Linked DNA regions of Oryctolagus cuniculus. The protein of the gene in region 2 purifies or fractionates together with the protein of the main gene of each other region. This does not show direct contact. Links are inferred from orthologs where the notes say so. Each region holds a gene or a part of one and is shown on either strand. Other genes may lie near its edges. The genes, in order: LLGL1, DNAJA2 and PLD2.

Region 1 (4,019 bases), on a different chromosome or scaffold from region 2:
CGCGCCTCCCCCACGTACCTGGTTCCCCAGGAAGAGGTGGTCCACACACCGTGCAGCCTGGTTCCAGATGACCAGCAGGCCCCGGCTGTAGCCGATGAGGATCTTGGCGGGGTCCCCAGGGTGTCCCTGCAGCGACTCCACGGGGCCGAGCGCTTTCCCGCACCGGTAGTCCTCCGGCACGCTGCAGGGAGCGCTCGGGTGAGCCGGCACGGCTTCCGGCCCCCAGCGGGAACCGGGAGGCCCACCTCCCCGCCTCTCACCTGCGCAGAATCTCGTCGGGACCCAGGGTCTGCCCCTCGAGCAGCGTCAGGGTGGGTACATCCAGGAAGAAGACACCGCCACCCTCGGTGCCCAAGGCCGCCGTGTCGCCAGCAGCCACCAGCAGGACCACCGTGATTCGGGTGAGGCTGGGCGGGGGACTGCAGTGGTGGGAGGGGTAGGGGTGAGGGCAGGTCTGTCCACCTGCCAGGGAAGGCTGTGACGGGGGCTGGGCCGCCCCTGTCCGCTCATTATAGGCACCCTCCTTGCTGCCTGGGGCCTACTTATGGGGCGGGCCGGCACCCCAGGAAGGCCCCGGTGTGGTGTGATTAGCCTGCTCAATCATTCATCAGGATGTCGGCGCAGAGAGGAATAAGAATAGGTTCCCCCGGTCTCGCAGACAGGCCTGGGCCCCCCCTGCCCAGCGGGAGGCCAGGCAATCCAAGCCCGGACCTGGAACCTCGGGCAGGCCTGCGGATGGGACCCCACTGCAGGACCCCGCTGGAGGGTCAGGGCTCCCCACTCCAGCAGGGCTGCGGAAGGAGAGGCCCCCTATACTTTTTTTTTTTTTTTTTTTTTTTTTTTGACAGGCAGAGTGGACAGTGAGAGAGAGAGACAGAGAGAAAGGGCTTCCTTTGCCGTTGGTTCACCCTCCAATGGCCGCCGCGGCCGGCGCGCTGTGGCCGGCGCACCGCGCTGATCCGATGGCAGAAGCCAGGAGCCAGGTGCTTTTCCTGGTCTCCCATGGGGTGCAGGGCCCAAGCACCTGGGCCATCCTCCACTGCACTCCCTGGCCACAGCAGAGAGCTGGCCTGGAAGAGGGGCAACCGGGACAGAATCCGGCGCCCCGACCGGGACTAGAACCCGGTGTGCCGGCGCCGCAAGGCGGAGGATTAGCCTAGTGAGCCGCGGCGCCGGCCAACCCCCTATACTTTTACCCCAGGGTCAGGCCTGGGCCATCCCGTGGGCCCCCGGGACCCTGCTCGACCCCAAACCAGCCCTTTCGTCTATGGGCAAAAGGCTCCTTGCCCACTCCCGACCCAAGTGGCCAGGGGAGCTTTGCCCGAACCGCCTGACATCCCCGCCACGGCAGGGAGGCAGGGCCGGCCCTCAGGCCTGGGCACTTCCTGGCACTTGCAGCTGGTGCGGCTCTCGCGGTCAGGGAGCAGACAGCCTGCCTCTCGCCTGCGGTTCAACAGCAACCTCCCATCAGGCCCAAAACGTCCACGGAGCACACCTCCATCAACTGCCACTCTGGGGCCAGGCCGGGCTCAGGGCGCCTCGGACCCACACCACAGTCCCCGGGACTCCCCTCAATCCCCGCCGGGAGCTGGCCGCGGCCCAGTATTCCGGTACCTGGCACCGTCGAAGCCGGACCGGCTGGGTGGCTGGAAGCTGAGCGCCTCCTCCAGGTGGGCGCAGCCATCATGGTGGGCGATCTCCCAGAGATGCAGGCTGCTGTCGTCCAACAGGGTCAGGAGGCGGCCCTGGGGGGGACCAGAGACCGAAACTGGGCTGGCCTGGGGGGAGCGAGGTGGGACAGGGGTGGGGGGCTACAAAGGTGGGGGCAGAGGCTCACCTGGCCCGGCAGAAAGTGCATCTGGGTGACAGTGGCTGTGTCCCGGTGCAGGCCGGTGAACTCCACGCCGGGCGCACCGTAGCTGAGAGTGACGGTCAAGGGCAAAACCCAGCAGGCACAGACCAGGGAGCACCCTAGGCCTTCTCTTCTTAGGAGCCCGCCCACCAAGGTCCTCCGAAGGCCTAGTGGGCCCCCTTCCCGAAGCAGCTCCCATCCTGTCCCCCCCAAGGGATCCCCAAGCTCCACTAGTGGGACCTTCACCTCCTCATCTGTAAAATGGGCCCATGACTCCCACTTGCTCTGGCTGCTGGCCCAGAAGTGGCGCACACCCGGCAGCGGCTCCACTCCATCTCAGCCGCGGGTGTGCTGTGTGGGCTCTGAGAGCCGCGTGGTGCAGGCCGGGGGTGCAGGGCCAGGCCCGGGGAGGAAGCCCAAGGGCAGAGGAGTCCAGGCTGCCTCTCCCTGCAGCTTCAGGCCAAACTCGAGGGCAGGGAGCCAAGAGGAAGGGGCGACGCCCCAGGCGGCCCACTAGGCAGAGGTACAGACAGCGCCTTGGAGGGATCCGGTGACTCCGAGTGCCCAGCAGCCCAGGACTGCCGGCAGCCCCCCCCACCCGAGGAGGGCTTTAGGGAGGGGTCAGCAACGTTGCCCCAGCAACAAGGCAGAAGCTGTTGCCTGGAGTTGGAGCCTGGCAGGGTACACAGAGGAGGGGACAAAAGAGGGAACAGGAGCAGCTGGGCGGGAGTCAGGGTCGCCAAGGAGACGGGCCGCCTCGCAGGGGGAGGGGCGGCTCCTGGGGCCCGGGGCCAGCCCCTGCAGCCTCAGTTTGCCGCAGGCAAGGGCTCCAGGCTGTGCTAGCTGCAGCGGGAGGAAGGGAGGCCCAGAGAGCCAGGGTTCCAGCCTCCTCTCTGAGGGGGTTTCTGCATCGTACCCCAGGTTCTCTGTGAGCCTGAGGCACACCACCCAGGAGGGGCAGCTCAGGACACCCCCCCCGCGCCGCCCCCGCCAGACAGCCCAGCACCAGGCTCTGGGACAGCCTCTCGGCTGCAGGCCTCACCCGTGGAGGCAGCTCTCGCCCAAGAGGGTCGGGAGCAGCAGGCCAGGGAGTGGGTGCTCCGAGGCCAGGTGTAGGGTCGCAGCAGCCCACGGGAGAAGAAGGGACACCCCAGCCCAGCCACGGAGCTGGCAAAACACAGGCCCCGACGCCCCCCCCCCAACCCCGGCCAGCACCAGCAGCCCGGGCTGAGACCCTTCTATCCCACGCCCTCCCCTTTCCAGGCACTGCCCGGTTTTCTGCCAGTGAACGTCCACACGTAGGTAAATGAGGCCGAGGGGCACGGGTGGGCACCCTCCTGAGACCCGCACCTCGGTCTGCCTGAGGGCCGCCGGGGTGGGCTTCTCCAGGGCAGGCAAGGAGGCATTCAACAGCCGGCCACCGCCCCCCCCACCCTGCCCCCAGCCCGGGCCCTGCCGGGAAAATGCGGGCTTTGTGCAGCTCACACAACCCATTGTGCGGCTGCCAGGATCCAGGTGGGGGCCCTGCTGCGTCCGCCATGCCCAGCCTGGCACTGCCCCCAGCCCCCTCCCCGAACACATGCGTCTTCACACTCGCCCACGTGTGTGTGCCCACTCGCCAGGGCCCCCCGGTCCACCTGCCACCCTCAACAGGTACCACAGCCCAGCCCCACCGGCCAGGCCACCCTGCTCACAGCTGCTGGGATGGTGGCAGGGTTGCCTAGGTAACCAGCTGACCGAAGCAGTGAGGGACAGCTGTGGCCACTGTAAACTGACCCCGCCCCCCATCACCCTGTCTCCCTACGCGTCCACAGATGTGCTCCAGGCCCCAGCCTGCTCCAGGACCCCAGCACTCGGCTTCAGTGCCTTCGCCCTCGCTCCCGAGCTGGGCTCCGCAGGGCTGGGTGCTCCCAAACAGGCTCCGGCCCACCTCCAGGCCGCGGAGGATACATCTTGACAGCCCCGGACCGGGTGCCGATGGCCATGATGCGGAGTTCGGGGTCGAAGGCCAGGGCGCTGGGCTGGTTGGGGAAGCCATGCTCCACAGTCTGCGAGAGAGGGGACGCACGCTCAGGCCCCAGGTGGCCGCCGGGCTCTGCCATCGACACGGGGGCCCAGAGCCAGGCTCACCTGCTCCTCGTGCCCCAAGGCCTTCCAGTCGGTGGAG
Region 2 (4,119 bases):
TCCATAGAAACCAATTTAGGAGAGCTGGCACTGAGGATCAAGCAATGAGTGACTATAACATGCAAACACACTATGCTTTCACTTAGTTTTGAAGCAAAAAGTTACTTGGAGGAATTAAATACTCCAAAGAAAATCATCTTTATACTTCGAATTTTAAATCACCTAATAACAAGCAGCCACACTACGTAACAAACCCTCTTCCTACTCAGGGAAAAATACCAAGCATCCTTTTTAAGAGCTGCAACAGCATATAGACAATGAAGACAGTAGGGCAAATGGATACCTCCCCATGAACATTTTACAATACTTTTTCTCTTCTAATGCCACCCAAAAGGGTATTTTATTTTTTGTTTAAAAAAAGGAAAAGATATTTACTTGAGTGGATGCATCATGTCCTCTCCTCTTCTTCTGCCGTTTCGACTTCTACTCTGATTGCCCATAAAGCCGAACAATCCCCCACCAAAAATGTGAGAGAAAATGTCATCCATGCCACCACCGCCGCCACTACCTTCCCGAAGCCCTTGTTCTCCATATCTGTCATATAATTCACGCTTCTCGGGATTTGATAGAACTTCATATGCAAAGCTTATTTCTTTGAACTATAGAGAAAAAGTAAAAAATAAAATAAATGGGTTTATTTCTATAAAAACCTAGAATCCACTTAACCTCAATAAAAGCTACATGTTCCCTTTGGTTTGATTCTACCTCTGCTCAAAATGTTAGTACTCATATCTTGATACTAAAATACTCTTATTCTATGAGCATAGGTGAACTTTCCCCCGCAACAATCCTTTTTCTAAGGACAATTAAATTTAAAATGAAAACCACAGGAACAGAAAAATTTCCAAGTAACTTACTTTGTCTCCAGCATTTGGATTCTTATCGGGATGGTATTCCTTGGCTAATTTTCTGTATGCCTTAAAAAAAAAAAAAAATTAAGAAAGGATTATACACAAGCACCAGTTTAAATACTTGTGATAACTAACTTAATATCTACTTTTAGGAAAAGCAATATTCTGAAGTGGTAACCTTCCAAAAATATCCCCTATCCATGTGCTGCCCAGCTCAGCATGGTTGACTCACTAACGTTACAAAGTAGTCAGTAGCTGTCCTTGAAAATAGCTTCTACTGAAGCAAAAGACACCAAAAGAAAAAATGTTAAGATATTATCCCGTATTTGCACTGTCAAATGTCTTTGATGGCCAGTAACCAGACCAAGACTCAAATCAATTCTAGAAAAACGACTGGTACGCTCCACAGACCGCAAAACATTACTATAATTTAAAATAAAAACCCCTGCCCATGAAGGCTGCAGCCTCCTCTCTCTCGCACAACAGGGAAAAACCAAGGGAAGGCCTGCCTGGTGGGTAATTAGGGGCTACAGCGAGGAGGCAGGAAACTTGCCTACATCCTCAACTCGGTGGCCGGGACTCAGGTCTCCATTCACACAGACTCATGAATTATATAACAGACGTGCATTTCCGGTAAGGTAACAGGAAGTCCATCTTACTCTCAGCTGTACCCGTCCCACTGAGCAGCATTCTCGTTTCTCTCAGGTTACAAATACGGGCACTCTAAGCCCGGGAGGATGCTGTGGGGCTTAATTAAACGCCCTAACCGCTTTGAAATCCCGAGATGAAAGCCGGCGCAGCACTGCACAGGGCGGCAATGAGGCCTTCCATTTATTTTTAGGCAGTGTCCACTCAGGTGCTTGGCTGGGACCCCATGGTTCATTCCAGAAGTGGGTACGGAACATGTAGGTTACCTGCCCAGAGAACAAAGCATCCCAACGCAGACCCACGCTCCCGCCCGGTCCATGACTGATGGAGGAAGAGAGGGAGGAGCTCCCGAGGCCGGCAGCCACGGCGCCCAGGAAACAAGCCCCAGCACCCCAGCACCCGGCGGGAGCGGCCTCGACCCCCGCCGCGCGGACGGACAGCCTCTCCCTCCAGTCAGGATGCGCCGGAAACCTCGGTCCAACCTGTTTTTCCGGGGTTGGTGACCTCGGCGCGGGGAGGGCCGGCCAGGCTGCTGCCTCCCGGGAGCACCGGCCTCCGGCGCTCACCGGGGGAGGGAGGCAGGAAGGGTTTTCGGCGTGTTTGCGCAGGGCTGAGTTTTATTTGCTGCATCTGCGGGCGGGCGGGGCCGGCGGCCCAAGGTCAGCCGAGGCCGGCGTGCGAGGCCCGCGGCGAGGCCGGTCCCGCCGCCGCTCCCCAACCTGGACCCACCGCGGCCGGCGCCGGCTCGCGAGCCGCCCCGCAGCGCGGCCTGCCCCAGCCGTCCCGGCGGCGCAGGCCCCGCGCCCTACACATCCTGCCGGCCCGGCCCGGCCCGGCCCGCTCCCTACTACCTTCTTCAGCTCATTCTCGCTGGCGCCCGGCGGGACGCCCAGGATGTCGTACAGCTTCGTGTCGGCCACGTTCGCCATGGTGACTGGCCGGGCAGCGCTGAGCTAGGAAAGGGGCGAAGCGGACAGAGCGAAGCCGGGCCCACGAGCAGTGGCGGCGGCGGCGGCGGCGCAGGCCGAGGGAGACAGCGAGGGGGAAGCGGGGGCGGGGCTGAACCTTGACCCGGCGCACGACGCTCCGTGACGTCACTGCGCGGGCCCGCCCCCGAGCGTCTGGGCCGGAGCCGTTGGGTTGTGAATGGTGCGGAGCGGGCCGTGTGCTCGCCGTCTGCTCCAGGGCTAGGCGGTGCTGGGGTTCCGACGTAGAGAACGAGGAGGACCTTTACGCGGAACTCAGCCCACCCCGGAAGGCGTGCGTCGCGGGCTCCGCGTGTTTAACGCAGCCCTGAGGGCCGAGATGAATAAGAGGCCCGCGGTCGCCCTTACTTTAGCCTCGGGTCTGGCGGGAAAGAGTCTCGCGTCAGTCTCAGAGTCCAGATTGTCGGAGGACCCTCGGGTCTGGTTCCTTCGGGATTTAAAATGAAAAAGCACCCCTGGGGTGTGTCTCAAAATTGCGGGAATCCTCAACCATTCTCCAAAAGTAGTGTTCATCAAAAGTAGCTGCTTTTCACCAGTTTTGTTTCATCCCCCCACCCCACCCCGCACGGTCCCTCAGTCCGTACTTCCCAGTGTTTTAAGAGAAACCATTTCATTCATATGTATCCTGAGTATACCAGGGGGCTAAAAAGAGTTGGTGGGAAATGTGCCTTATCTTTTAATTCTATTTTTCTAAGACCCTTTTATAGCCCCCACGTATACCTGAGAAGACTTTAAGGCATCATCACAAAGTTAATGAAATTAGCAGTTCCCTTATCTAATTCCAATCCATAGGTGTATTTCCCTGATTGTCTCATGTCCGTTTTGCAGTTGGTATGTGGCGTCCACATCCAAACCCAAGGCCACACATTGTATCGAGATCACGTGCTTACATCTCTTGATAAAAAGCTTTAAAATAGCCAACACCAGCCTTGTGGTGTGTAGCAATCTGGCTGTGTGGAGATTCACCTGGTGGTTGATGTGTGTTGATTAACTTTGCCTTAGCTTAGCTCGGACAATGTTGGCTGTGCATATACTTGGTGTTGAGATATACAGAAGCAGAAGCCTGGGTGGTTGGAGGAGACTGTTAAAAAAGCCTTCCTTCAAACCATTGTGGAGACAGAAAAATAAGATGTGCTCATCAGCTGGAACCTGAACTGGTGGCATCTCACTCAGGATAGCCTTTCTTCCTTGGCATTCTCCCTGACCTAGTTGCTGAGTCCTGAGTGCCATACGAAGGACTTTGAAATTTAGCCTGAAAAGCCTGGGGAGTCGTTGATAAGTTAGGATGCTCTTCCCAAGAACCCTCCCTTTCCCTCAAATCCCAGCCTGGTGAACTCTACTATCTGATTTGAGTTCCCACTAACAGTTCGTTTTTGCCTTTGTGGACACTGCTGTGTGACCTGATGATGTATTCTGACGGGATCATCTGAACTCCATGGATAGCTGTAGGGTACCCTAGAGGAGATTCACTTTTCTGTATTCCACAGGGTCTGGCTTTGAATGCAATAAAGGCCTCAGTAATTCAAATGCATGAATGTCCTTATTGTTTAAATGCTGATCATCATCTTTCTGTGCTTATGTACTGCTGTGAAATACCATTTCTCCAATGCCTTTTCACACTTTGACATGTTCAT
Region 3 (4,119 bases), on a different chromosome or scaffold from region 2:
CGGTAGCTGCCGCACTTGAGAATCAAGGACCTGGAGGGGAACGAGGACGGGGCCAGTGGTCCTGGCCCTTCATACCCTGCCAAGGACCTCCCTGTTTCAGCCTTTTCCTACTTCCTCCCTTAGTCCTTAATCAGGACTCCGTGGGGCCAGGCTACACTTAACTCCTGGCCGGGGCCCAGCAAGCAGCCCTGGCTCAGGCACTCAGGTTCGTCAAATGAGCAAATGAGAAGGGAGCTTCTCTTCCACTGGGAGCACGCCCCCCCCACCCTCCCCCCCACCCCCGCTCCGGCTTACAGGGGCTGCTCTCTCTGGCCCCAGACTGTAAGAGCATCCCAAGCATGTGGCTGGACCAGTTCCCAGGTTCAAAACTACTTGGATCCCAGGCACTGGAAAAGCCTTCCCTTCCTCTCTGCCACAGTCCCCCGGCCCCGCATGAACCCCCCTGAGGGTGGCAGGTTGGGTCCCCTCACCCCGGGGAGCCCTCACCTGTGGGAGGTGTCGATGCGCACCCCATACCGTGCCTCTGTGCTCCTCTTCCCCACCTGTACCTCGAAGCCCGGGTCGAAGAGCTGAACAAAGGAGATGGCGCCGGTCTCCAGGGTCATGTACAGCAGGAAGGAGTCTTTCACTACCAGCCACCTGGACGGAAGGGCTCCGGTTCCTCCCTGCCCGCCAGCTCCCCTTCCTCACCCCCAGCCCCCGCTCAGCTGCTCAGTCCCCACCCCCACCTCTTGGACCAGCGATAACAAACTTGGTCTCTGCCACAGCAGGTGAGGCCAGGGACGCGGTGGCCACCCGAGCGCTTCCGGATCACGCCCTCCCTGTGGGGACAACCAGGAAGAGACGCTGGATGAGGGCTGCAGCCCCCTGCCCGCCCCGTTCTCAGGCGGGAAGGGCTGGGGAGTGAGGGCTGCAGACGGCTGGGGGAGGGGTGTTCCACACTCACAATCCTTTGGAGCCCAGGTCTGGGATAAAGGACAGCTGACTGACTTCCAGGAACTCTGTCTGCAGAGGAAGACGAAAGTGCAGAGGAGCCCCCTGGCCTTTGGTCCCTCGTGGCCCCGTGGACCCAGGCCCATCGTCCCCTCGGGGACCTCACCATGGCGTGGTAGTTGCGGTAGAAGGACATGGTCAAGAGGCGGTTGAGGTAATTCTCCAGGTATTTCTGAAGTGGGAATGGGAAAGAGAAACAGGTGGGACCAGAGCCACGTGCACAGAGGGACGCCTTCCCAGGGAACCAGGTGTCTGCCGCACCTGCTTGCTGGCTGTGTGTCTGCTGGAGCCCTCATGACCTGCTCGGGGTAGAGAGGGCATCTCTCTGTTGGTGGCCTCTCGGGTCACAGAAGAGGGAACAGCGAAGCTGCGGAAGGGATGGGGTGCGGGTCAGGCCCTGTCCCAAGCCTGGTGTGGAGGCGCAGGTGGGGGCAAAGGCACTGGCAGGCTGGGCTGCTGGGGTCTGGGAGGAGGTCAGGGGGCTGGCACAAGGCAGACCTCCCTGTCCTGGGATTGGAGAGGCTGCCAAGGCCACTTTGGGCACCCAGCCCAGCTGAGATGTTGGCACGAAACCGCAGCCAGGGAGAGCTGAGCAGGGCAAGTTTCCTAGTAACCAGGGTCAGGGGAGTTGGGGGCCGGGAGGTGCCTGGGGGTGGGCTGCACAGAAAGGAGCAATGGCTGCCGCGGGTCGAGGGGCGTCTGCCCTCCCCATGCAGCTGGGCTCCCCTCACCGGGCCAGGGGGAGCAGACTCATCAGGACTTTATGTCTCAGGAGGTCCCGGTGCAGCTCCTGGAAATGACGGAACTTCTTCTTGGTCGTCCAGGTAAAGTCACCGTGCGTCAGGCGGACTGAATACAGAGTGCAGGTTCCCACCTGAGGATGTGAGTCGCTGAATCCATGTCCCCTCCCCTCTGGCCAAAGCCACGCCCACCCCACCCCCCCACCCCGGGGCCTGCCTGGCCACCTTGGATCCACTGGTGTATCTTTCGGTGCCCACCACCTGGGCTGTGACAGGGACCCCAGGGGCGAACACCAAGGGGCGCGCTTTCATCGGCTGAAGGTCGTAGATGGCCAGAAAGGGGTGCATCCGGTCAGCTGGGAGGAGACAAAGTCCAAGACTGGAGCCCCCAGGAGGGCCCCAGCCCTCCCCGGCTCCCCTCCCCCGGGGGCCTTGATCCTGAGTACCTGGGTCCTCTCCCTCCCTCAGCGTGTCCACCTCATCCGGCTCCATCTGTAACTGGCTGGAGTCCAGGTCGTCCCCAGAGGAGAAGGGGCTCCTGGGGGTCGCCGTCATCTAGGAATGCGGGGCCGCCTCAGGGGGGCGATCAGCCCTGCAGGTCCCACCCCCCAGCCTCGCACCTGCGCCTCTCACCTCCTCCTGCCCGGCCACCTCCCCGTGACGCGGCTAGAACCTCCATCCCCTACCCCAGGATGCAGGATCCCTCAACTCCGCCCTCTCGCGAACCGGAGCCCCCGGGGTACACCCAACCCAGCCCGGATGTCCCGAACTAGGGCAGCGCAGAAACCAGAGAGCGCGGGGCCAACGCGGCTCGGGCCGGGCCAGGCCGGCCGAGCGCGGGGGTCCCGGCGGGAATGAGGAAGTTGCGCGCTCCTTGCCCGGGAGAAGATTCCTGCAATCTGAGCGTGCGGCTGAGTCAGAGGCCCCCGCCGGTCGCAGCCGGTCTCGTCCCCGCCCGCTCTCCGGGGCGCGACACCCCCGCGGCGCCCCCAGCCCGGCCCCCTCACCCTGGCAGCTCCAGCCGGCGCCCGCGCGGTTTCGCGAGCCGAGGGAAGCGGAGGCGAACGCGAGCCGGAGCCGGTGCCCACACCCCAGCGGGCCGGGGCGGGGCCGGGGCTCGGGCCTGCCCTCGGGGGCGGGACGGGCCCCGGCCTCCCCTCCGCGGGATTCTCGCCTAGCGCGTCCCGCCCCCGCCGCCCTCGCCGCCCTCGGCCCGCCCCGGCCCGGCCCGGCCCGGCCCGGCGAGACCGGGGACCTCCCACCGCCCGGGGGCCGCCTTCGCCCAGCCTGGCTGTGCCCTCGGTCCGAGGGCACCCGGTCGCCACCCAGTGTGCGCTCCAACCGCGCGCGTCCCTCCGCGCTGGCCTCTCCACCAGCTGCGCTGCCTCGGGCCCCAGGCTGGCCGCGCTTCCGCGGGGGCACCTGCAGGTGCCTCCTTTTCCCGGAGAGCGTTTGTAGAAGGAGGGGATGAGGGGAAATGCACCCTTACATTCATTCACCAAACATTTATTGCGCGCCTGCTCCGTGGTAGACTCTGAACTTTTAAACAAGGACAGTCCAGGGAAAATGACATTTTGTTACATTTCTGTTTTTTAAGCTAAGCAGGTTGCTTTATCTACTCCTGATGGACGGTTGGATTGTTTCTAGTTGACTGCTCTGAATAAAACTCCTATAAACATTCCTGTATAAGTCTTTGTGTGGCTTTTATTTCTCTTGAGTAAATAGCAGTAGGGTTTTTGGGTCATATAAGTGTATGTTTAACCTACAAGAAACTGCCAAGTCGTTTTCCACAATTTTCACATTTCCACAAGCTTCAGTAGTTCCAGGTATTCTACAATGGCCAACACGCTAGATTCAATTTTTAAAATATATTATTTATTTGAAAGTCAGAGTTAACAGAGAGGGAGATCCCAGATGGTCTGGGCTGGGCCAGGGGGAAGCCAAGAGCTTCATCAGGGTCTCCCGCGTAGGTGGCACTTGGGCCATCTTCCTTTGCTTTTCCCAGGCCATTAGCAGGGAGCAGAATTCAAAGTGGAGCAGCCAGGACAAGACGTGGCACCCAGATGGGATGGCAGTGTTGCAGGCAGCAGCCTTACCCTCTATGCCACGAAGTCAGGCCCTTGATAGTTAACTTTTTTAAAAGGTTTAATTTATTTGAAAGGCTGAGTGAAATAGCAAGAAGGAGAGATAGATCTTCTATCCACTGGTTCACTCTCCAAATGGCCACAACAGCTAAGACTGGGCCAGGCTCAAGCCAGGAGCCAGGAGATCCATATAGGTCTCCCACATGGATGGCAGGGGCCCAAGCACTTGGGCAGTTACCTGCTGCTTTCCCAGTTGCATTATCAGGGAGCTGGATCAAAAATGAAGCAGTCGGGTTTCTGGG

What was found.
Region 1: the proteins of DNAJA2 (region 2) and LLGL1 purify together in Homo sapiens (co-immunoprecipitation; 3 studies listed by BioGRID and IntAct, with this or other methods). This does not show direct contact. The link is inferred for Oryctolagus cuniculus from reciprocal best matches to the Homo sapiens genes DNAJA2 and LLGL1.
Region 3: the proteins of DNAJA2 (region 2) and PLD2 purify together in Homo sapiens (affinity purification with mass spectrometry; 3 studies listed by BioGRID and IntAct, with this or other methods). This does not show direct contact. The link is inferred for Oryctolagus cuniculus from reciprocal best matches to the Homo sapiens genes DNAJA2 and PLD2.

Annotation. Positions count from the first base shown.
Region 1 is NC_091448.1:62,286,198-62,290,216, forward strand, and holds part of LLGL1 (lethal(2) giant larvae protein homolog 1), read right to left. Parts: intron 3,901-4,019; coding exon 3,803-3,900; intron 1,920-3,802; coding exon 1,838-1,919; intron 1,746-1,837; coding exon 1,615-1,745; intron 420-1,614; coding exon 261-419; intron 182-260; coding exon 19-181; intron 1-18. UniProt on the Homo sapiens protein: Cortical cytoskeleton protein found in a complex involved in maintaining cell polarity and epithelial integrity. Involved in the regulation of mitotic spindle orientation, proliferation, differentiation and tissue organization of neuroepithelial cells.
Region 2 is NC_091449.1:30,783,726-30,787,844, forward strand, and holds the start of DNAJA2 (dnaJ homolog subfamily A member 2), read right to left. Parts: upstream 2,619-4,119; 5' UTR 2,429-2,618; coding exon 2,351-2,428; intron 918-2,350; coding exon 858-917; intron 600-857; coding exon 376-599; intron 1-375. UniProt on the Homo sapiens protein: Co-chaperone of Hsc70. Stimulates ATP hydrolysis and the folding of unfolded proteins mediated by HSPA1A/B (in vitro).
Region 3 is NC_091448.1:51,411,682-51,415,800, forward strand, and holds the start of PLD2 (phospholipase D2), read right to left. Parts: upstream 2,876-4,119; 5' UTR 2,741-2,875; intron 2,289-2,740; coding exon 2,180-2,288; intron 2,090-2,179; coding exon 1,959-2,089; intron 1,868-1,958; coding exon 1,725-1,867; intron 1,361-1,724; coding exon 1,255-1,360; intron 1,166-1,254; coding exon 1,100-1,165; intron 1,006-1,099; coding exon 947-1,005; intron 822-946; coding exon 729-821; intron 640-728; coding exon 487-639; intron 31-486; coding exon 1-30.